Struthio camelus: one gene and its partner. The protein of the gene in region 2 purifies or fractionates together with the protein of the main gene of each other region. This does not show direct contact. Links are inferred from orthologs where the notes say so. Each region holds a gene or a part of one and is shown on either strand. Other genes may lie near its edges.

The links.
Region 1: the proteins of LRCH3 (region 2) and SUGT1 purify together in Homo sapiens (co-immunoprecipitation; 3 studies listed by BioGRID and IntAct, counting the BioPlex papers as one, with this or other methods). This does not show direct contact. The link is inferred for Struthio camelus from reciprocal best matches to the Homo sapiens genes LRCH3 and SUGT1.

What each region holds. Positions count from the first base shown.
Region 1 is NC_090942.1:188,788,042-188,799,162, reverse strand, and holds the start of SUGT1 (protein SGT1 homolog), read left to right. Parts: upstream 1-6,708; 5' UTR 6,709-6,723; coding exon 6,724-6,987; intron 6,988-10,281; coding exon 10,282-10,372; intron 10,373-11,073; coding exon 11,074-11,121. Other genes in the region: ELF1 (ETS-related transcription factor Elf-1), read left to right, coding at 2,602-3,220. UniProt on the Homo sapiens protein: May play a role in ubiquitination and subsequent proteasomal degradation of target proteins.
Region 2 is NC_090950.1:21,386,022-21,397,285, reverse strand, and holds the start of LRCH3 (DISP complex protein LRCH3), read right to left. Parts: upstream 4,488-11,264; 5' UTR 4,430-4,487; coding exon 4,192-4,429; intron 1-4,191. Other genes in the region: FYTTD1 (UAP56-interacting factor), read right to left, coding at 7,566-7,661, 8,805-8,931, 9,575-9,649, 10,517-10,578. UniProt on the Homo sapiens protein: As part of the DISP complex, may regulate the association of septins with actin and thereby regulate the actin cytoskeleton.

The DNA of each region.
Region 1 (11,121 bases), on a different chromosome or scaffold from region 2:
TCAGCTGTCTTTCTTCCTTAGCTGGTCCCTGTGGACCTTCATGGATTGTTTGAACTGTATCTATGTGCTGTTTTGATTTTACTGCAATTTGACTTACCTGTAGGTAGTTCCCGTTGCTTAAAAAAGCTAGTGGTCATCCTTCTCCGTTTACACATGGACATTTGTGTTTGTTTTTTCTATCAAATACCAAGGAGAATTATTTAAAAAGAAATATATAGGTCTGATAACCCTTAGCAGACCTGGTGACCCCGGTGCTGTCACTTTGAGCCTTGCGTTCTAAGCTCCGTTGCTTGTACTTCCTGTGCAGCACCTATATCAGCCTGGTGCATGAAATCCGGAAGTTAGAGAGAAAGAAGTGGTCACTCTGCAGCTGGTGCTTCCCAGCCAGCCCGTTTCTATGAGAATTTTTTTTGGCCTCTCTCCCCCTTCTTGTGACCCAGGAGCTCAAGATTGTGCCCATCAGCTGCCCCTCTGTACTGCAGTGCCAGACATACTGACACTAGACACGTCAGCTTTTGCATCCCAGCTATACGGTCTTTCTGATGTGACTTGCAAGAGAGCCTCATGGGCTAGTATTTGGATTTGTTTTGCTTTATAGACAGTCCTACATAATGCTGACTTTATCTTCTTTCTTATGAGGAAAAAGCTACAGATAAGAAAAAGAATCCCTTGTATTAGTAAGCCCACATAGGAGGTGGGAAGAGTTGCCTGTAGCAGCAACTGGCTCTGGGAGACTGAAGGGGGAGCTGATGAATGAATGATGAATGAAGGGGAAGGGGGAGCTGATGTGCTCTGAGCTTGATACCAGCTGGGTTACTAGAGTTGTGCTTGCTGGGGGAGTCTTTGCAGCTCAGAGAAAGGCCTTTCCCAGAGGACTGAGGTGAGACCTGGAGGTCTTCTGCAAGTGTTACTTCACTTGCCTCTGCTGCTGCATTGGAGAAGAGGGAGTAGAGCTCCCCATGCTGTTGGAGCATCTTCCTCCACATTGCCCCTAGCTTGAGCATCAGTTAAGTCCTACCCGCTCTGGTAAGCTTTTTGTTGCAGTCATGACAGCAAGAATGTGGTTTTTTTGAACTGCAGTTTTGATTACGTTGAGTCTGATCTTACTGGCCAGTAGCAAAACTCTGGCAAGTGAGATTTCACAGAGCTGTAGAAGATTGGTACTAGATGGGCAGAAGGACTATAGAAAAGAGGACATTCCATGATAGATATATACTAGGCAACTCTTACAAAGTAGCTGAGAATTAAACTTTTTAGAAGAGAGAACAGGCTGTATCGTGCATGGACTTGAAAGTAGAAATATTGAAGGTAAGTGACTTTTAATCTAAAATGATTTCAACAGAGACAGAAGTAAGCTAGAAGATAATTATGCTTGTTTTCACTTAGTGTCAAGTATATTAAAGAAGGCATGAGTGAGAGGTTCAGACTGAAAAAGCAGAGGAAGATTGTCAGAAGAAAACATGGAAGCAAAGCAGGAACGTCAGAGAGAACTTTGCAGGACCGAGAGAAAGAGAAAAAAATTGCCAGGGACAGTGTGGCATGATGGGCTGGAGCAAGCAGCCAAATGGCAGAGTGGAAACAAATTTTTGACAATGCTGGTTTAGAGAGGGGGAAAAAGTGAGGGAGACCCAGGACTGTAAAAAGTAAATGTGGAGTAAACCATTCTCAGAAATGGTAAGTTCAAAAATAAACATCGTATTGCAAAATTATCATGATTTATAAGGTGCCAAAAATAAAGGTGCAAAAGGAATGAGAAATAGTAATATAAATACTGTGGGAACAGTGTAGAAGTAGTTTTCCTTCCCTCCCTCCTTCCCTTCGCTGGAAATCATTCGCTTCACCAGGAGTGCGAGGTTTCTTTGCCTTTTTTTTTTTTTTTTTTTTTTTTTTTTAAAACATGGGTATGTTGCAGTGCATGTGCTTCAACACATTTCTAAATCACCAATTTCCATTGTAAGACTTGTATACTTCAGTGATGTGGCTGTTAATCTTCTGACTTTGCCCTCTCAGCTGTACATATTTAGAAAGTAATACAGTATCCAGGTCTGTCAGCCTAAAATTGATGGAATCATTCCTAATTTAAACTTTTCCTGGGGGCAGATTCTGGTCAGTTGCTTTACCCTTAGGAGTGTGTAAACCTGGCATACAGAGGGAGAGCTGTGTCCTGTGAGCCTGAGAGGGTCCCGAAGACACTTGCTGTTACAATGCAGATGCCTGTGTGTATAGTTACAGACATACATGGATGGCAGGAGAACTGAAGCCTGATTTATGACTTATTCAGCCGAGTACCTTGTGAAATTGATGATACTCGTGTAGGGTTTGTTGATGCCTGAGGTGGAGATGTTGGATGATTCCCCGGTTTCCTCATGAAATACTGAATGTCTCAAAGACAGACAGTCGCTTTGGGAAATGGGTTACTGACCTGGGGGGACGGGGGAGGGGGTTGTTTTTTTAGGAGAGTGCTTCCCTGTTTGAAATCCTTAGAAAAATAATCGAAGGTTTGTGATGCCAAGTGATTTTTTCCAATAGTAAGAGTATAATTGTTTTTAAAAACTCAAAGTGAAAGTATTCTGACCCTGCACTCTTTTCTAATCTGAATAGGACTTTACAGACTCCAACCCAAGTTCCAGTGGTTGTTTCTCCTGGAAATCAGCAGCTGCATACTGTAACACTCCAGACAGTGCCTCTTACTACAGTGATAACCAGCACAGATCCAGCCTCGGCGACAACGCCCCAAAAATTTATTTTACAAGCCATTCCTACTTCGCAACCCATGACAGTTCTTAAAGAAAACGTCATGCTGCAGTCTCAGAAGCCAGTCTCTCCTCCTTCATCAATTGTGCTGAGCCCAGCCCAAGTTCAACAGGTTCTCACCAGCAGTGTGCAGACAATTTGCAACGGAACAGTCAACATGGCTTCGTCTCCATCCTTCAGTGCCACTACCCCGGTGGTAACTTTTTCACCTAGCAGTTCACAGATGGTAGCTCATCCGTCAGGCACAGTGATCACTTCAGTTATTAAAGCACCAGAAACTAAGCAGATTGGCATACAAACAGCGATAAAAGAAGAAGACAATGATGAAGTAGATGATACTGAGCAGTCAGAGCAGAGAATTCAGCAGCAGCCTTTTGTGATGGTAGTATCCAGTTCAAATGGTTTCCCATCTAACATGCAAGTGAAGCAAGAAAATGAGCCATTGGAACCCAGTTCATATAAATAAATTAAAAAAAAAAAAAAAAGACCCTGTGGATGATTATTTTCATAAATGTGATGGGACCTTTTCAGTTATGTATATATGATTTGATTCTGAAGCAGATGTTACAAAGCTACTTAATTTCCGCAGTTAATTGGTAGAATTCATGCTTTAGAATGGATTTTGATTTTCTGTTAATTGCTAAATGTTATCATATAAATAAAATTACATATCCCTCATGTTTCAAAATACAGGCGTGAAGGAACATGCTTTTTTATGCTATGAAGACTTTCTCTTGAGGTTTTTGGCCAAAGTTCCGAACTTCTTACATATTTGTATGTTTTCAGTCTGTTGCTAATTTACATTGCAGTAACATTATTATAACCTTCTCTGTTTAATCCGTGCATGTATCACTTAACTTTTGAAGCAACACTTACTTTTACTTTTGATGGGACATTTTCATTCCATGTGTATGAATTTTTTATGATCAAGTGTATCTGTTTCATACCAGTGAATTACATCAGATTTAGACTTTGAATAACGGACAGTGATAACCAGGTATCCTCTTGTTGCATTTTCTGCAACACATGCTCTTGTGTGTGCAAAATTAAATATACACTCCTATTGAGAGTACAGAAAACATTTATTCCAGTAATGGACAATGCTAGGTCTGTATTTTATATGGAAACATCAGATATATTTAATTACAGAAACTAATGGCATCACTACAGGTGCAAATGTTTCATGCCATTTTGTGACTATGAATTTTAACAATTTTGCTTTCTACTTCAGATCATTTTGTAAGGGGGGGGGAGGGAAATGAAATATATACAATTTATGCAGGTGTTCTTAGATTAGTACTGCTAAGAGTTCTTTTTTGATTGTAAATAATGTACATTCAATGTCACAAGGAAGTTTTTCAGCTAATTTGTTTCCATACAAATTTTTGATAGATGCAAATAAGATCATTATGTTTAGAGGTCTAATGTTATATGTATTCATATTACAGAGTGAATTTGTATTTAAAAGACAAATTTTTAAATGATGGAGCCCTTTGAACCTTGGGTCCTTGCCTTTTGTATTTTTAATTGGTTTATTATGAAAATAAATCAAATGGAGAAAAACTTTTCTGTATTTACTCTGAAATGTTTTTATATTAATACAGTGTTTTGATGATCATTAGAAGTCTCCAAAATACGCTGAGAAACAGGACAGCATAATTAATCAGTGTGGGCCTGTGGTGGAACATGAGCAAGTGAGCAATTTGTGAATCACTTCTGAACTCAGCCTGGAATGCACCAACATGCTGTGTGTTTGAGCATGCGATGGCACTGTGGCCTTTCAGGGAGCAGTACTGTACGTTTTCATAGCTGAAATGAAAGTTGAGCTATAGCCAGTGTTTAGACTTCAACGTCGTCTTTTCTGTCCCTTCCCAGTAAGTTATAAAATTTCAGCATAATTCTGGGGTGCCATTTATCACAAAGGTCCTTGTAGCTTATACAACAGTACTGCAGGCTCAAACTACTGCATGGCCAAAACCTAGCATGTTGCAAAATGTTTAAGGAGAACGTGGATTATAAATGAACGTGATGCCTAGTAAGATTAGCTGCATGCAAAGTTAAAGGAAATACCACTTTGGTCTAGCTGTATAGAAGTAACTCTAAAAACTGTACCTAACAAGCAGTTCTCTGCCACGGCTACCCTGTTTCTTGGTGGTTAAAAGTGCCTTGTTTAGGTGGATGTGTGGCTTTTTTTTTTCTTTTATTCTCCTGCTGTTAGGTTTTGACCTACAAATCCATGAATCTCATCCCCTTTTCAGAGACTGGCAGTACACAAACCGAAGTGACTGATGCCAAGTAAGTGGTGATTGTTTTGTCCGGCAGCATTCCTTGCAACTAGGGAACTTAAGTATTAGAATTGCACCCTCTGGTTGAAGAGCTCTTGTGTTGTAGAAGTGCAGTCCTAATATTTTTGTTATTTTTTATCTTAATGAAAAAAATACAGAAATACAATGTTGGCAATATTACTAGAAATGTGGATAACATTGTAAAAATATGGTACAGTTCTCATCCTGAGGGCTTTACATTTCAAATTGACAAAAAACATTGGGGACGATACTTTTGAAATTAATTACAAAACAGGGACCTTATCCTGTAATACAAATATTTCATAATACTAGGGAGCCTGAGGAAAACTGAGGAAACGTTAAGGCTTGACTGACATAGTGCTTGGGGGGGGAGGGGGTGTTTTGCTCAGCGTATTTGCTAAAAATGTGAAAAATCGCAGTATGAGATTACAATTTTGCAAAGAAAACCTCTTGCCATAGATTTAACTACGTCAACAGGAAAACGATTTTGTCAGCTTAGTTTATGTCTTTTGGAGAAGTGGTATAGTTAGGCTGGCAGAAAACCTCCAGCAAACAACAACGGCATGTCTTCTAACAGAAGACTGTGTTGTGTAACAAACCCTAAATGAAAATCATTTTCTTCCCTCTCCCCACGTCTCTTAGGCTCCGATGTACTACCCCCTCTACCCATCGTACTTTCAGCTCTCAATACTATGGGCCTCCAAAGCGGCAATGGAATGGAAAAGCCAGAGCAGGTCACAAAACGAGGGCTTACAGTTGGGGGTTGAGCAATTCCTCCCCCCTGCCCTTAACGCCTTTTCACAGCCGTCTTTGTGTCTGCGGTATTGACCAAACAGAAGGCGCAATGTCACATTTGAGCCACCGCTGACTCAGAAAGAAAAAAAAAACAAGAGGCTGCAGCTCTCTTCTGCACGCATGCCAGCTTGAAGGAGGGGGGGGGAAGAGAGACGTGCTGCCCCCAGGAAGGGATCCCAAGGGCGAGGAGCAGCCCCAGGGCACCGCTGCTGCCCCAGGAAAGGCCCCGACTCCCGCTTCCAGGCGTTAGGCCAGAGACGTGGGGCCACTGCTTCTGCCACTGCGGGGGACAGAGCTCCCAAGCTGAGGGAGCCCCCTGCCCGGCCGGAACCACTGCCGCTGGTGCTTGGTTGCCTCAAGATCTACCCGTCAGGCTGGGGCTAACAGGAGCTGCCTGGACCTCAGGCGACGCCGGCCTTTCCCTCCTGAACCCCCGGTTCATTAACTTTGCGGTCTTCACACCCCTTCCTCTCAGGTTCACACCCCAAACGGCAGCCTAAGCAAAACGAACTTTGCCAGCTCTCTGCCCTTTCTCGTATTTGCGCGGACCCCCGTTTGGGAACCGCCGCCCTTGAGCCTGGGGCGAACCTGAGCAGCGAAAGAGCAGCCAACCGCCGCGACGCCGCCACCTCCCTCCGCCTCCCCGCCCCAACCCGCCCGCACGCATGCGCACACCGCCGGCCGCCGGCTCCTGCCGCCGCGGGGTGGGGGGGAGGAAGGGGCGGGAGGGAAGGGCTTAAGAGCACCTCTGTCACGGCTGGTCCTCCAACTCTATGGGAGGGAGGCCTTCGCGTTTGCCTCGGTAGCAATGGCCGCCCCGCCTCGTGACGAGGCGCGCGGGAGGCCCCTACGGGTTGGGCAGGCCCCTATGCATCCCGTCAGCCTTTGCGCGCGCGCGGCTGCGGCCTTGGCGGTTGTTGTGCGGGTGCCTCGGCGACTCCAGAAGTTTCTCGGGGGCGGCGGGCGGCATGGCGGCGGCGGCGGCGGGGGGAGCGGCTGCTCCGCGGTGAGCTCCCCTTCCCTCCGCGTGCCGCCCCGCCCGCCTACCTCCTCCTGCCTTCTCACCCCTTTACGTTTCCTCGGCAGGTTCTCGGACGGGGACATCGACCGGGACCCGGGGGCAGCGGCGCAGGTGAGCGGCGGGGGCCGCGTCCCGGGGCTGCGCGGCCTCGGCAGCGGGCCGCCCGCGAGGCTGTGGGCAGAGGTTGGCCGCCTTTGCCTCCCTCGCCGTGGCGGAGGAGGAGGCGCCGGGCCCCGAGTTGGGCACGCTGGGTTTTGCCGTGCGTAAGGGTCCTGCAGGGCTGGTGTAAGTTGGCTGTCTGGCTCCGCTGTCAGTCTGGGAGCACCTTCGCGCTTTGTCTGCGAGGGAGGAGGATGTTTTATGAATGGGGAAGCTTAAGTCCTGTGGGTGAGGTGACTTTCTTGCAGCGGCATGTCGTGTCGCTGTTAGAAGCGAGGGGAAAGCTAAAGTTTCTTACCGTTGTCCTTTTTGCCAGCTGGTAGTTTACAGTGTTTTCCCCAGAGGGCTGTACTCCTTCATGTGACGTCTGACGAAGGACGTGTTCAGCATGTTTCTGTCAAAATGCTTGTACTACCTGTCTTGTGAAAAAACAGTAAAAATGAACTTTTTGTTCAATATAGGTAGACTGTAATACAAATAAGTTTTTGTTTTTAGGTGCAGAATCATAATTGATTTAGTTATTGGCGAAATTTACTTAATCTTTATTAGTTTTTATCCTACTATCACCCTTTTTTTTTTCCTTTTTGTGTATTCTACCCATTAAGTTCGGTCAGTGTGTTCTCAAGCGTTCTTTTTATTTGAAAGGAAAGGTTAATAGGAAGACAGAAATGAAGGATGGATAGATTTTTGTTTAACATGCTCTAGAAGGGGAGAGGATATCACTATTTAGTTCTGCTTGAATGGAATAAGTGGCTGGAGCTTAACAGGAAACTTAATTATCTTTCCATAATGAAGTGGTGCAGCTGAATCTTACGGTTATTTGGGGTTTAGGCTGTAGCTTGCAAAAACTTTTCAGAAGGTAACTGACATCTAAAATGGGGTTGGACAAAACTAAATATATTTAACACAGTTAAATTTAAGATGTAAAAAAATTGAGTTTCCAATTGTAAACAAAACATCTTTGGAAGTGTTAAAGGCATATTTCAGTAGTATTCGTTAGTCTTTCTGTGTTAGCATAGTTTCTTAACTTGTCTTGTTTGTATTTCAGTTCCTTGTATGTTCAATGACTTTCTGTAAGAAGTTTTTTTGCTAATTTTAAAATAGTTTATAGCACATTAGGTAGACAGTATGTTGCAGTGATACCAGCTGTCACTTTTTTTCTTTGGTAAATACTCATGTTTGCAGGCAGTCTGTGCTTGATAATCTCTGAACTGGTAAGTCCCATAATGCTGTGCAACATCACGATGACTTAGGAGCTTGGATCTAGAAGCAGTATACCATGTTTGCATGATCTTGGGTGTAGTCTTTAGCTCATGTACTTAAGTGTTTATAATCTGGGGCACAGCACCCAATGGTGCTGTGTAATGCTTCCACACCTGGCAGGACTTATATCCAGTCAGCATGGCATTTCTGCCCTTTTGGTTCCTTTAACTCCTAAAGAGCATACTTCAGTATTCTGCACCTGCTGGCTATAGCTGTGTCCGCAGAGGCACTAGCCTGGATCTGATGCAACTAAAAGGTCATCATCCGTGTCTAAATGCTGCATTAAAAATCTGGATGATAAAGCGGTGAACTTCTTACTGGCTTTTTTGTCATACTAAGTAGAAAAAGTAGTCTACCCTATGGAATAAGAATGTCTTCTATTGCTTTTTCATTTATAAAATGCTCTGCAAGGTAAGCAGTAATGACTTAAGGCAGAATCAGAACTGTATGTTAAAATTGTAACTCCTGGACGAAAGCACGCGTTGTCTCTGTTTTGGTGGAGTGTTTTGCCATATGAGAAACAAAGATGGTAACCCGACTGAATTCAGGCACAAGTGATTCAGCAGATTAAACCACTTTTAATTCATACAAACTCACTTGTGTCAGACCTCACTCGTTTCTGAGGGTTACAAGCTGTACTTACATCTATTTGCGTAGCGTGGCCCCGTTCTAATACATCAGTTACCTCATATCCTTCCTATCTGGAATCCCTATCATCATACATCTTTCTCGTCATATAGTGATGACTGCTCTTGAATGGCTTCAATTATTAAGAGGCCATTTGTATAAGTAGATCATGAATTGCTTTTTGTTACAACTCTACTGCCTGCCGCTTGTTCAGAGACACCCTCCCCCCCCCCCCAAGGTTTTAGATCTATATGTTGTACCTATATAGAGATTTGATTATCTTATGCTGATGTGAACTCAACACTGCTGACAAAAGAAGCTGCTTTGGTCACTTAATTCCTTGTTGGTGTAAGCATTTGTGTGACAGTAATGAACTAGAACAGACGCTGATCTGAATTAAAACTAAGTTAGGCTCTTCTACTCTTCCTCCCTTCTGTAGCTTGGTGGAGCTGTGTTTTGCAGCTGTGCTGAATTGACATTTATGCATGCGTAAAGCCTATATCTTGGCCTCCTTCATGCTGGCTGAATTCTGAATAGAAATCCAGGTAACTTGGAAAGTTGAGTTACTGTATTGTAGTGTTGTACAGTTAGTGGCTTTGGAAGATTTACTGCCTTCTAGCAACCCTCCTCGGTAAAGGGAGAACTGGAGCTGAACACTCTTTCCAAAGGTGTGTGCTGAGCCATTGTAATTTCATTCTGCTGTGCAGAATGTAAGAAACTTTTCTCTTGCAGTGTATGTTATAATTATTTCAATCTGTAAACGTCATTCCATTAACAAAGAAATACTTGATGCTCGTTTCCGTTATTCAGCAATGTTGCCTGCAAGCCCAATGGTGCAAAGGTATTTTTCTGCTAGTTTTCTTCCTCAGTGTGCTTCAAAACAATCTCCCATGCTCACCAATATTGTACAACACGTTCATCATGTGTTACGGCTCTTGGAGTATGTTATCCCTGCACAAGTGTTCTGACATACTTTGTGCTGATTTCCGAATCTGCACTGCATTGCTTCCTCATACCCAGCAGACCTGTGTACAGAAGTGCTGAAAACTGTAGGCAGCTCTTTAGGATATAGAGGATCAGCTGTGCACTAGACTTCATGGTTATGGCATTTGAAAAACTTGCTTCCTTGTCGGTAAGGAATAGGTTCCTTGAATCTGGTATAATTGGCAGATTCCTCGTACTTTGTGAGCCTTTGATGTATAAGCTTTGTGGATCAAAACTGGGCAATAGACAAATGTTCCAGCCAGTTCAGGATATTTTGTTCTGAAATGTCTTTGAGTTGACAGAGGTTGATATTGTACTTTTACAGGGACTTCTGAGTTGCTATTTTATATTTTTTTTTGTCTCTCTTTACAGGAACTGACAGCAGCCTTGGAAAAGAACCCAGATGATGCTGAATATTATTGTCAACGAGCTTATGCTTATATTCTTCTACAGAATTATGCTGGTAATAACTTTAAACTGATAATCCCTTTACAAGTGTATTACGACACATTCTTTACAGAAGATGTCTTAGATCTGCAATTAATACAGTAGTAATAGAAATTTGTTGCCTATAACTTAATTGGCAGTTATTACAGTAAGGTATACTTTGTAGTTTTCTTTGTCTTTGTTTGCTTTGTATCTGCAAAACTATCAATAAATTAGGTACTCTGCAGGCCATAGATTTCCATTTGATTTTAGCACAGGACTATCTGGGCATCTATTTTTCAGTAGACTTCTCAGGTAGGTTTTAGACTTCACGTGGTAAATGTTTTCCGGCCTTGTGTGGTCTCCTGGTAGAGACGGAATCCTGTCATAGTAGGAATGTGATAGCTGAATAATGCATGGGAAAAAGATTAACTTAATACTAAAGCTTTGGTCTAGTTGTTCTTTCCATTAAAAAAATGATTTACAAATCGGGTTTAAGTAGAGGATTTGAATAAATGACAGTCATACTTCTCGCGCATACTTGCACAGAGCTCTAAAGTGAATGAAGGGGTCATCCATATCGGTTGTGGCTATGTTTAATCCAGGCAGCGTAATTTGTGTGTGAGATAAGAAAACTAGTCAAAATTTTGAGGTGAAATATGTTACAAAAACACTCAGCCAGTTTTCTCGTTTTCATAACATATTGATGTTCCTTATCTGTAAACTGACTTTCCACAGATGCTGTTGCAGATGCAAAGAAGTCCTTAGAACTCAACCCCAGTAACG
Region 2 (11,264 bases):
AATGCTGCTAAACAAAAGAGCATGAAAGAAAAACAAAAGCACATCCTTGTTTTGTTAATGAAGTTTGCTCATTCTTCATCCCAAATGAGCTTTTAAGTTTGACTCATTTCCTAAAATTCGAATTAAATTGTAAGGGATGAGCATAAAGGACACCTTCTTCCCCCTCTTGCCTCTCTTTTAGTATCTAAATTACCATTCTACTGCACACCTTGTAAATAAACCATCCCGCATGTACAAGAATGTTAGAAGAACTGTTGCATCACGTTCTGCAGGGAGCTAAGCTATTAACAATCCATTCCAAAGCTCACAAGCAAATACTATCCTATCCTCAATTTAATTTTAAGTTGTTTGGTTCCCCATTCCTTTTTTTTTTTTTTTTTAAATATCTGTACATCGCTTCTTCTTGTGTGATCTTAATTCCAATCAAAACACAAAAACAAACCGCAACTCACTATTATTTCAATGTCTGCTTAAGTTATCTACTCAGAGGTAGAACTGAGAACACTAATCTGTGTTTAAAAAGCCTTCTGTGGGTCCTCAGCATCTGGACGACAGCAGCTTCCAGAGGGCAGCTGAGGCTCCGACATTACTACAGGTTTCACTTTGCAGTGAGAGTTTTGTGATCAAGGCAAATGATTAATGAGGAATTTAATTCTCCCACTGATGCTTAATAGAAGTATATTTAACTTTCAGAATAGAAATGCAGCAAACCCTATCTGGTTATCAAATATTTTTCCAAAGTCAAATTACACCTGCCAGAAACTTAGTTCTGATAATTATTCAGGGATCACTTAGGAATTATACCTGTGTATTTCATCTCATGTGCGACTGGACCAGAACACAAGGAATAGCACTACTGCAGCCCATCGATGAAAATGAGCTGTCAAATGCAATTTACGTTTCATTAGAGGGCTACAGTTAACCTAAAAATTGCATCTCTGTATAAAAGCACCATACTTGCAATAAAACTCACAGCAATACAGTAACTGAAAAAAAGGAAAAAAAAAAAAAGAAAGTATTTTCCTCTTTAAGAGCACAGTAATGCTAGTAACCAAATACAAACAAATCAACACCTTCCACCGTGCTTGAACTGTTATGATAATCAACTGACAAAAGACTTTCAGAGGAGTTCACATGTGCTTTTCTATAATCTGGGCTTTAGATTTTCAAGCCTTTGAAGCAAATACATTGCTACGCTATATTTTCAAAATAGCACAAGAATTCAAGTATGAGAAATGTATGCATTTTATTACTAGTATTTTTACACAACATCAAAATCCAACAATTATTCAATATCACATCCATTTGTGCACGTTTTTGGACACTGAGACATTAACTGCCTGAACACGGTCTAGAAAGCATCTGAAAGCAGGTATACTAAGTGAAAGAAAATAAGATGATTAAATAAACTTATATAAGTTGGGATTTGGTGTGGTAAACACTGGTTATTCCCACTAATTTGAAACTACTAGGGCATTTATCTAGATCGAAGAGAATCAGGGAATGAGTTTGTGCAGAAGCAGCTACAAGTGCTTAAGCACGAGGGTTAGTAGTACTGTAAACTCTCAACGCTTGAAAGTTCCAAAGAAACATGCTCTTTCCACTGATGTAACATTTGAAAATATACTTTCTGGCTGATATCCACTTGTAGGCATTCCCCCCTCCCAAACTGCGAATTCCAATATCTGCACAGAGCAGCCAGGTAAACTTGATCTAGCATACATCTAATCTCTATGCCCTGCTCTTCCTCCTGACCCACTTTTGGTGGTTCATCTATGTTAACAAGAGCTTCCAGTCAAGGCCACTGAATCTGTTAAGGCTTAAGGCTATTCTAGAAGCTAGTTTTGTAGCAGTGTAGTTACATTAATAAGGCATGTGATTCATGTGATGTGTACATGCTCCACCTGATGTGCTTCGAGTCTTTACAGAACAGCACGCTGGAAAGCACCTGGAGTCCACAGGATTGTTTTAAGTGTTTATAACACCTAGTACACATTTTCATTATACCATATTATTTGTGGCTACTAGCATGTAATAAAAGCTGGAAGTTTCACAAGAAGGAAATCAACACGGGGAAAGAAGCGGATTAAATCTGTAGCTGAACCCTCAACTGATACTCAGAGGTCAGAAATAGTTGCACCGTTTCTCTCCACCGCCCAGCCTTATTCAAAAGAAAAAAGAAAAAAAAAAAGTAATAGCACAAGTTATACCAAAAAAGGCACGAGATGAAGTTATTCACAGGAGACTTCATAACTGAGAACCTGAATAGAACTTTTCCCTCACTCACAGTAAGCTCTGTCTCTTAACTTAGGAAGAGTCTTAGCTTTTTCCAAGGTTCCCTGTGAAGAAAAATGCACAAAGTGTATATGGCATGCACTGCTGCTTATTGGCATTTAATGCTTCTTGAACAACTACAATGCAAATATTCATCACAATAGATAGGAACCTTGGCGGAAACAAGAATTCCCACAAATTGTTCAAGACTACAGTAAATGAATAGTATTATAAACAAAAAGCCCCAATCCCTCACAAACAAGTATGCTATATTTACCCATAGATGTGTTGAGGCCAAACTAAGCAGATCTGCCCCTCGCAGGATTTTTTTTTTTTGGCAGTATTAGTACTTTTCTGACAGATTTTTTGCTCAAATAGGACATTACATGACACAGCGTGAAGTTAAACCATTTTAAAGGAGGCTCCATTTTGAAACATTTAACTGGCAGTATATCAATACACCAATAAATAGAGTTTTTAAAAATAAATAAAGTTTTTAAAAGCGATGTTCAGAGTTTGTTTTTTTAGCTAGTATCTTCAAACAAAAGCATCACAACTCAAATGACAGAAAAAGTTATAAGTGACCAAAGCTAAAAGTAAATGGCATGCTGATACCTTCCACAACTATTTCTACTTTGCTTATACAACTACACAACTAAAACACACGCAAACAAAATTTGCTCTATATAACGCATTAAGAAAAGTAAGCTCTACATCCCATGAAAACACTCATTTTTACAAGTCTTACTTCTCTGTTCAATGCAATAATACATTGACATAATCCATAAATGTTTGCATGTGTTTTTACTTATGGGCAAGCTGTTTACATGTGAAGTATGCATTTTTAATCTACTCCCTATGAGCATACTTGGGGAGCAAAGGGGAAAAAAATACCTCTATTGCTTACTGTACCATGTAAAGCATTCCTTAAAAATATTTAAAGTTTTCCTCCGTTCAGAATTAAGGGAGAACACAGTAAGAGGACGTGCTTCTTCTCACAGTACCTTCCAGCTCTTGTGCATAGCTGTCAGAAATGACAATAATAATAGCATAAGAGCACAAGAAATAGTTTTCATTTCTTTAGCTCATGAACACTTGACAGCTCTTCTTGTAAAGTTGGTTTCCCCTGCCAATAGCACAAGATGAAAGACAGGGAAGGCGCATATGCATGTGTACATATATAACACGTATATATACCAGTAAAAGAACACACATGACTAAAACCACATGAGTGCGCAGCGGGTACTTAGAAAGGACTCGTAACTACTTTTAAAACCCAGCTTCTAACATGGGAGCACCTCTCACCGGCCAGCCTGGCGAGGGGGAAAGGAAAGGGGGAGCACCCTGCACCAACTCCCCCCATCCTGCCTCGCAGGAGGCGAGAGGAAGGGCGAAGGGAGAAGGGGGAAGGTGTGAAAGAGAAACGGCCCAAGAGAAGAAATATGCCAAGCATCGCCTCCGGGGGTGGGTGGCGGGGCGGGAGGGAACAGGAATCGTCTCCCGCTTGGCCGACCAGCCCACAGCCGGGGGGGGGGGGGGGGAATCCCCCCTACACACACACACGAAGAGGAAGGGTGGAGGGGACACAACCCAAACGCTCCAAGCATGCATTAGGAAGGGATCTGCTCGCAGGGGAAATCTCTCCTTTTCACACACCCAGCATAAATCCCCTCACTCGGGGGGGGGGGGGCCGGCTGCCCTGCCCCTCTCCCACCCGCCCAGCGGCCGTTAGGGAGGGGGTGGGGGGCAGACAGACACCCCCCCCCCGTGAGGGGGAGCCGCCAGGCCGCGCCACACCGGCTGCCCCCGGCCCTGGGGCGCGGCAGGGGTGTGGCGGGCGTTTCCCCGGCCCCCTCCGCGCCGCTTCCAGCCCTCGCCCCGCCGCCGGGCCCGCCCGCTCCGTGCCGCCTCCCTCACCGGCCTGGGTGGTGTCGCTGAGGTCGTGGTTGGCGGCGCTGGCCCGCGGGTAGTCGCGGAGCTTCCTGCCGCTCAAGCTGAGGGTGCCGCTGGCCGCCGCTTCTTCCAAGGCTCGGTCCAAGGAGCGGCTCCACGAGCCCGGGCCCGACGGGCCCGGCGCAGGGGAACATGTCGCCGGGCTGCCCGCCGGCACCACGGCAGAACCGCCCTCCGGCGCCGCCAGCACCGCGGCCGCCATTTCCCCCGCCGCAGCCCTCCGCCGCTCCGGCTTCGCGCGCTGCTGCGCAGGCGCGGGGAAAGCCCAGGGACTGGCACACAGGGCGCATGCGCGCGGCAAACTGACAGGGCGCGCAGGCGCAGCCCCTCCCGGAGGAAATTGGGGGGGGGGGGAGGCCGGAGGGCACCTGGGGGAAAAGCTGGAACAGGCTCGTTTCGAGGCTGCTTTTCCCTCTCCTCGGAGCACCCAGGGTGCAAGCGTGCCCACCTCCCCTTGGCAATGGCTCAAGTGCCCAGAGCTCACCTGAGGTCCAGCATAAATTAAGATTTAGCCCACCTGGCTGCGATGCCACGTGAGCACTTCCACAAACTTAAGTTTTCTAGCGCCTCCAGAGCACCAAAGTCACCAAACCTAAACAGGTCAGACTCTTTGCAGTGCCTGAACACGTAGTGCTTGTCTTACTGCCCGAAAGTACAGATCGGCTGCTTAAAAACAAACAAAACACCCCCAAACCAGTGCACCTCTGAACGTCGTCTGAAGCTGACAACCACGCAGATTTTAGCCGGTAATAAAAACTAAGGACTTCAAAGAGTCGGGTGCCAGGACAGAAACTCACCATACTCAACATCTTACAGGCAGTATTTTTCCCCCCCACGTACAATTAATAGCAGCACTTCCACTGCTTATAATGCACATAGCTCCTGGCAGCACGTCTTTGCCAGCGTCCTTACTTGAAAACACAACCACAGCAGTTTTATCAGGGTGTTCAAACTGATCCTGTAATAAAATGCTTAGATGACAGTGATTTCCCATTAGCAAAACATGTCACAGCAATCTGAAAATCAGTACATGACCTGACAGATTAAGGTATCTGGTACTATGATCAGACCAAACCACTAAGATAGTGCTACTAAAAACATCAGTTATTTATATATTTTTCAAATGCAAGTGAGCTTATATAGTACCAGTGCAAAAAGTGCTCATTTTTCAGGACACTAAGCCAGAAACGAGTACAAGCCCTCCTTAAATTGGGCTAACTTTTGGTATATTCTCCAGAAATTTAATAATGATTTAATCATTAACAACCCCTTGAAGGATATCAGAACATTTATATAACCAATATATTGCCCAAGTGGTTATAACAGGAACAAGAAAGTATGAAACCTGTAACATTTTATTAAAAAAAAAAAATTAACAGCTTCAGAATAGATCCAATGTAATAACTTCTTCAAAAAATACCAAAAGGTACAGTGTAAAGCATCTTGTCATTAAATACAAACTAGCATTTCTTGATGCATTGCATCAATGTTTTGCATCTTTGTTGATGCAAAAGAATTGTTTTGTTGCATCCTGGCACAGGGAAAACATATACACTGAAACAGGATGACTAACACCACGTTATCTACTCAAATTCTAACAGTGGGGTATTTTTCAAAAAAAATCCCTATTAGTAATTAAGAAAAAAAAAAACTTAACACCATTATTTTTAGTTTTTTTGCTAAGGTATGTTTTTCAACATTAAAAATAAGGTTTTAAGTACTATATAGTGTCAAGGATGCATTCTGACTTTAAAACTGCTATATGACAGAAAGCCCTTCTACTGTCAAACGCTCTTCAACATGTAAGTCCAGGGAAACAGCTAGTCAACTTGGAATTTGATAAAAATGCAAGGAAACCAACTTTGTAAGAAGCCAAATGTAAATTCTTCAAGAGAAATAAGAGGAATTAAAACCACTTCACACACCATAGACATCTGTGGATGCAGCAAGCCAACCATTCTTTTACCTGACTGTAACTAAAACTCATTGCTATAGAACAGTGTTCAGTTCATCACTTCCTGGACTGGAAGCAATTTTATCAGCATGTTAATTCTGAACAGGTGTCTCGTTTCTACTGATGGTATGAATTCCCAATAAGGAGCCCCAGTTGTCACCATCCTTCAGATTCTGATGCATAAAACTAGACATTAAGTAACTGCGTGCACCTATTTCATGCCTTACACATGTTGGCAGACTGAGGGCTTTATTCCAGCAACACTTCCCCAGTTTCAGCCACCTTCAAGATGCGTGACCACTGCTGATCAGCTTCACATCTTACCTCTCTTTGGTATATACAAACAAGTGCCATTAAATTGCTTGCCTCTGGCCATTTCTGAGGGACAGAGAGAACCCTCTGGGGTAAGATGAGAATCCTGTGTCTGGGAAGGTAAGGAACTCTACCATACCACTGACTTTCTTCTGAACTGTTGTATTTATTCCTACAAAATTATTCAAAAAAATGTGAAGTTATTGCATTAAGTTTATGGAAAAGAAAAAACTTACAAAAAGAAATAGAAAGTAAAAGTTTAAGGAAAAAAAAGGAGACAGACATACTCCATTTGCAGATGAACGCCAGCTATTTGTAATATAAACTATGCCCATACTGCCGTACAGTACTCCTCCAGCGTGATCTGGACCACGTCTAAGGATAAGAGTAGGAGTAGAATAGTCTCCATCCCAATTATATATTTTGGATCTCAGCTAACAGCTTTATTTGCGAAAATGAGGATGCAAAATATTTAGTCTCCATGGAAGGAAAAAGAAAAAAAAAAAGAAGAAAAAAAAGAACATCAAAACCACAAAGAATTACAACCAATGCTCCCATGAAAACTGCCGCTACATCACTACCAGAAGTATTTATGGACTGAGGCTCTGTACTAAGCTGCAGTCCAGAGGGAAGTTTATAGACAGTCCCTAACACCCTAAAGAGGGGATTGTAATGGAAACACTGACAGTCTTCACTATAGCAGGGGGTCAAAGAACAGATACTGAGCACTGCTAAACGAAAAACAAAACAAACCACCCCCCCGAAATTTTATCCTCATGTTTGTATTTTGGTTGCAAGATGAACCAAAAAAATCAGTGTTTGTCATCAGCTGGGCAACAAAATCTTTTTCAACCAGATCATGGTGTCACTCCAGCAGATTGGTTTCCCCACTTTTTCACCCCAGGGCATCATGTCTTTTACTGTTCAAAGTAAAAGTAATAAAGATAGTTAGCTCTGCCACTATCTTAGCAAGAAGTCTGGAGAATCTCAGTGACGTATGCTGTATTCTTCTGCCCACTTTTATCTCAGTTTCTTAGATAAGTGGGATCAGTACTCAAGTCCATTTGACAGGTTAGCCCACGGTTACAAAACGGCTTCCTTTGTTCTGGGACAGCGCTGTTCTTTGTTCCTTCAGGATCCCAAAACGCTCGTTCAAAGTCATCCCTGTCTGGAAAATAAATTTATTTCACTATACACATAAAAGATGCTAGGTTAATTTAATCAAAGTAATGGAGACGAGAGTAATTTTTCCGCATTCCGTATCATCACCTGGCTTAAGTGTATATCTAACTAAGATCCAAAAAAGGCCCTGATTTAATTTGGTTTCATTCTTTCCCACACCATTTAGAAATCAGAATGGAGTACATATCAACAGCTAGCACTTATTGGAATTCATTAAGAACATATGGTGGTACCAAGTCAAGACTGACAGTGAACTCAGAAAACCCTAAGACAGTTAAACTGAGAACAGATTGAAAAAGGGAACTTTCACTAGACTCATTTCCAAGCATGGATTCTACGTAGCTTCAACAAAAACAAGTTTCTAACCACTTTCCAGTCCATCCAGTTGAGGCAGCAGACTAGCGTCTAGTCTGACACTTCAATTAATTTTTTTTTTTTTTTTTAAACAATATCATAGCAGGCTACTTGCCACACACTATTTGTTTGCGGAAGGAACAAATCCTGACTGACTTTCTGACCCCATGTTTTCTGCAGAAGACAGTAAAAAGCTGATTATAAGAACAGCCTGGTCTTGGGGTCAGTGCCTAACTCTGTCACCCTGCCAGAATTTTGTCAGTAAGAGCACTCAGAAGATCCTCTCTCCTGCACCCACTCACCCGTCTTCACGAAACTCTTGAAAACGTATCTCTCTCTTAAACCTTTATACCATTACATTTGATTTTTTTTCCCCTAGTTGCATAGTCAAAGTTGCTCTGTTGCAAAGAGTAATGACATTCAGATGCCAGTGTTCCATACAAGTTACGTGAGTAAGAGCAGCTCAGCCCTGAATTACACACACTAGCTGATTCAAGCAGCAAGAACATCGGAAGATTTTTACAGATATTCAGCATTTTAAATCCCACTCAAAGCATGCGGGCATGCAAGACACAAACCAGAGGAGCAGGAACACTAAGTGCAGATATTTGGTTGAAGTTACATAGCATGTTAGCAGAAGAACTGGAAGTGGAAACAAGCAGTAGTTACTAGTTCCCTCTTTCTGTCACTAGCGAGTATAGGATTAAAGTGCCTGGCTCACCATCTTTATCTATCTTGGAACTACTCCATAGTTGAGGAAGGAAACTGCTTTTACCTGTTTTCCAACACTATTAATATCGAACTGCAACGGAACCCCTTTGGGAATCTTCTTCTCTTCAGACTGGTCCCTCTTCATCAGAAATGGGGGCACGGGAGTACGAGTTAATCGTAATTTCTGGGACCTATGAAAGAACAACATTAAAACGGACATAGTGAATACATGCTTTTAAGCAATAAAGCCTTACTGCTGATAGAACAACACTTCTGACTGTTAGTCTGTGTTGTAAATGCACAAAAAAAAAAAAGTAGACAGAGGCTTCCTTACAGAGTAAGTACTACTAATTAAAAAAAAAATTGTCTAAAATATAACTCCATCATCAAACTCAACTCTTCCTTTAACTTCAAAAATAAATACAGCAATACTTTCTTTAAGGACATTTCTAACAATATCTTTATGAATCAGGAAGGAACTATTATCATCACTCAACAACTAGATGCTCATTCATTTTCATTCAGGTAGAGGAGGGAAACAGCCACAACATGGCCTGATTTTGAGCACGCAGATAAGGTGAAAATCTACCAGCCCTACACAACTCAACTTTATGCCACATCAAGCTCCTCGCTGGGAGGTCTCTTGTGAAAATCAATTGTGATGTTATGCAAACACAGCTCAGAAACACTCAGAAAGCGGCTAGTTTTAAAAGCTTTCACAAGAACTCACCTTGAAGTCACCTGAAATAACATCTGCAAATAAATTGCTAAATGGCTCAGGAACAGCCATTTCAGTTACGCTAAGAACATTCCAGAGCTGCTTTTATTACTCACATTGGATTTATGATTGCTCCTGGGTTGTCAATAGATACAGTCAGAATCCCTCCACTCGTGGTAGAAGTTCGCCATCTAGTTTGAAAACACAGAAATCACTTATCCCAATCAAAATTTCAGCAACACGTTTACATCTTTAAAAGTGCGTCCCAAATACTGGCTAATAAAGAACGTATAAGCTTTCAGAATATGGGCCAGTACAAAGACAGCATGCAGACAAGCAATCTGCACGTTATACGGTATGAGAAGCGGGGTACTGACTTCAGTATCCTCTACATTACCTGAAGAGGCATAGACAAACTGTAGATCACATGCTGGCAAGACATACCAATACTGCAGCAGTGATCAAAATGTTCCTATTTTTTAAAACATTCCCTTTCGCTTGCCACAGATGCAGCTAGATTGGCCTTCACAGCAAATCAAAGGTGACAGACTACAGTTCTGTGGCACATGCTGCTTACTCAGCCTGTTGTGTTACCAGCAGCCAAGTTGCAAAGAGCCTAGCAAACAGAGAAGGATATGAGAGGCGCATTGGGAGAGTATTGCGTGGCCTGCCTCACGTATTTTCCAACTGCTTCACAGGCTCTGTGTATATTAGATAGCATGGAAAAATATATGAAGAGCTCAGGAGAGTGCAGGCATTGGAATTTTTCTCCTAGTCTATGCAGTATTCTTAAGTGGTAGTGACTAGTCTACCTAGCTAGCACCTTCTGCCTCATTCTTGTGAGCATCTTACGCAAACAAACTCATCTTGGTTAACTGAAGAGATACTGCAGGAAACAACTGGAAAAAAATAGGGAGAGGACCACTGCCATTCAGTTTAGAGGCCTACAGGCAAAAAAAATATCCAATTACCATAGCCAGGAGCAGAAGCTAGATCCAAAACAAGAGCAGTAGTACAAACAAGTAACTAAACTGAATTTTGTCAAATGAAATACTTACTGACGAGTTCTCTTTACTGTCTGATTATCTAGATCTTCTGCTGGCTGCACTTGGGCCTGCACCTGAAAGCAGATCAAGAGAGACACCAGATTTGAATACTGTTTCCACTCTCATTGTAGCAGTTGGGAAAAAAAAGCAGTTCAAAAACAGAAGTTTAGAGATGTTTGTGCATTTTGTACAAACTGGGCTGTACTTTCAGAGGGACTTCAAAGATAACTATCCTATTACCTTCGTAAGACAATGGAAGGAAATAACTTTAAGAACAAAATGATTTAGAAGTGATCATCAATGACAGTAACTTAAGCAACAAAGAGATGAAGGAGAGGGTCCAGCTGCAGTCATAGGAAAGAAAACAGGAAATCAAGGACAGGAAAGAAAAATCACACATATATCCCTACATATAGGGAACATCAGAGAAGAAATACCGGGAGATGGTCAAAACAGGAAACACTTAAGGACTGCCTTAGAAAACAACACTTTACCAAGATCCACTAAAACGTTACCAGGCCAGTAAGAACAACACGGGCAGCTCCTTGCTGGAGCCGCTCCTTGGACCGAGCCTTGGAAGAAGCGGCGGCCAGCGGCACCCTCAGCTTGAGCGGCAGGAAGCTCCGCGACTACCCGCGGGCCAGCGCCGCCAACCGCGACATACATAATATTCAATAGGCCATCAAGTTCTACATCCTTTTTAAAGGAATTTGGTTTTATTTTTCTCCCTCCTGATCCTGTCTGTAATTCCCAATTCTGC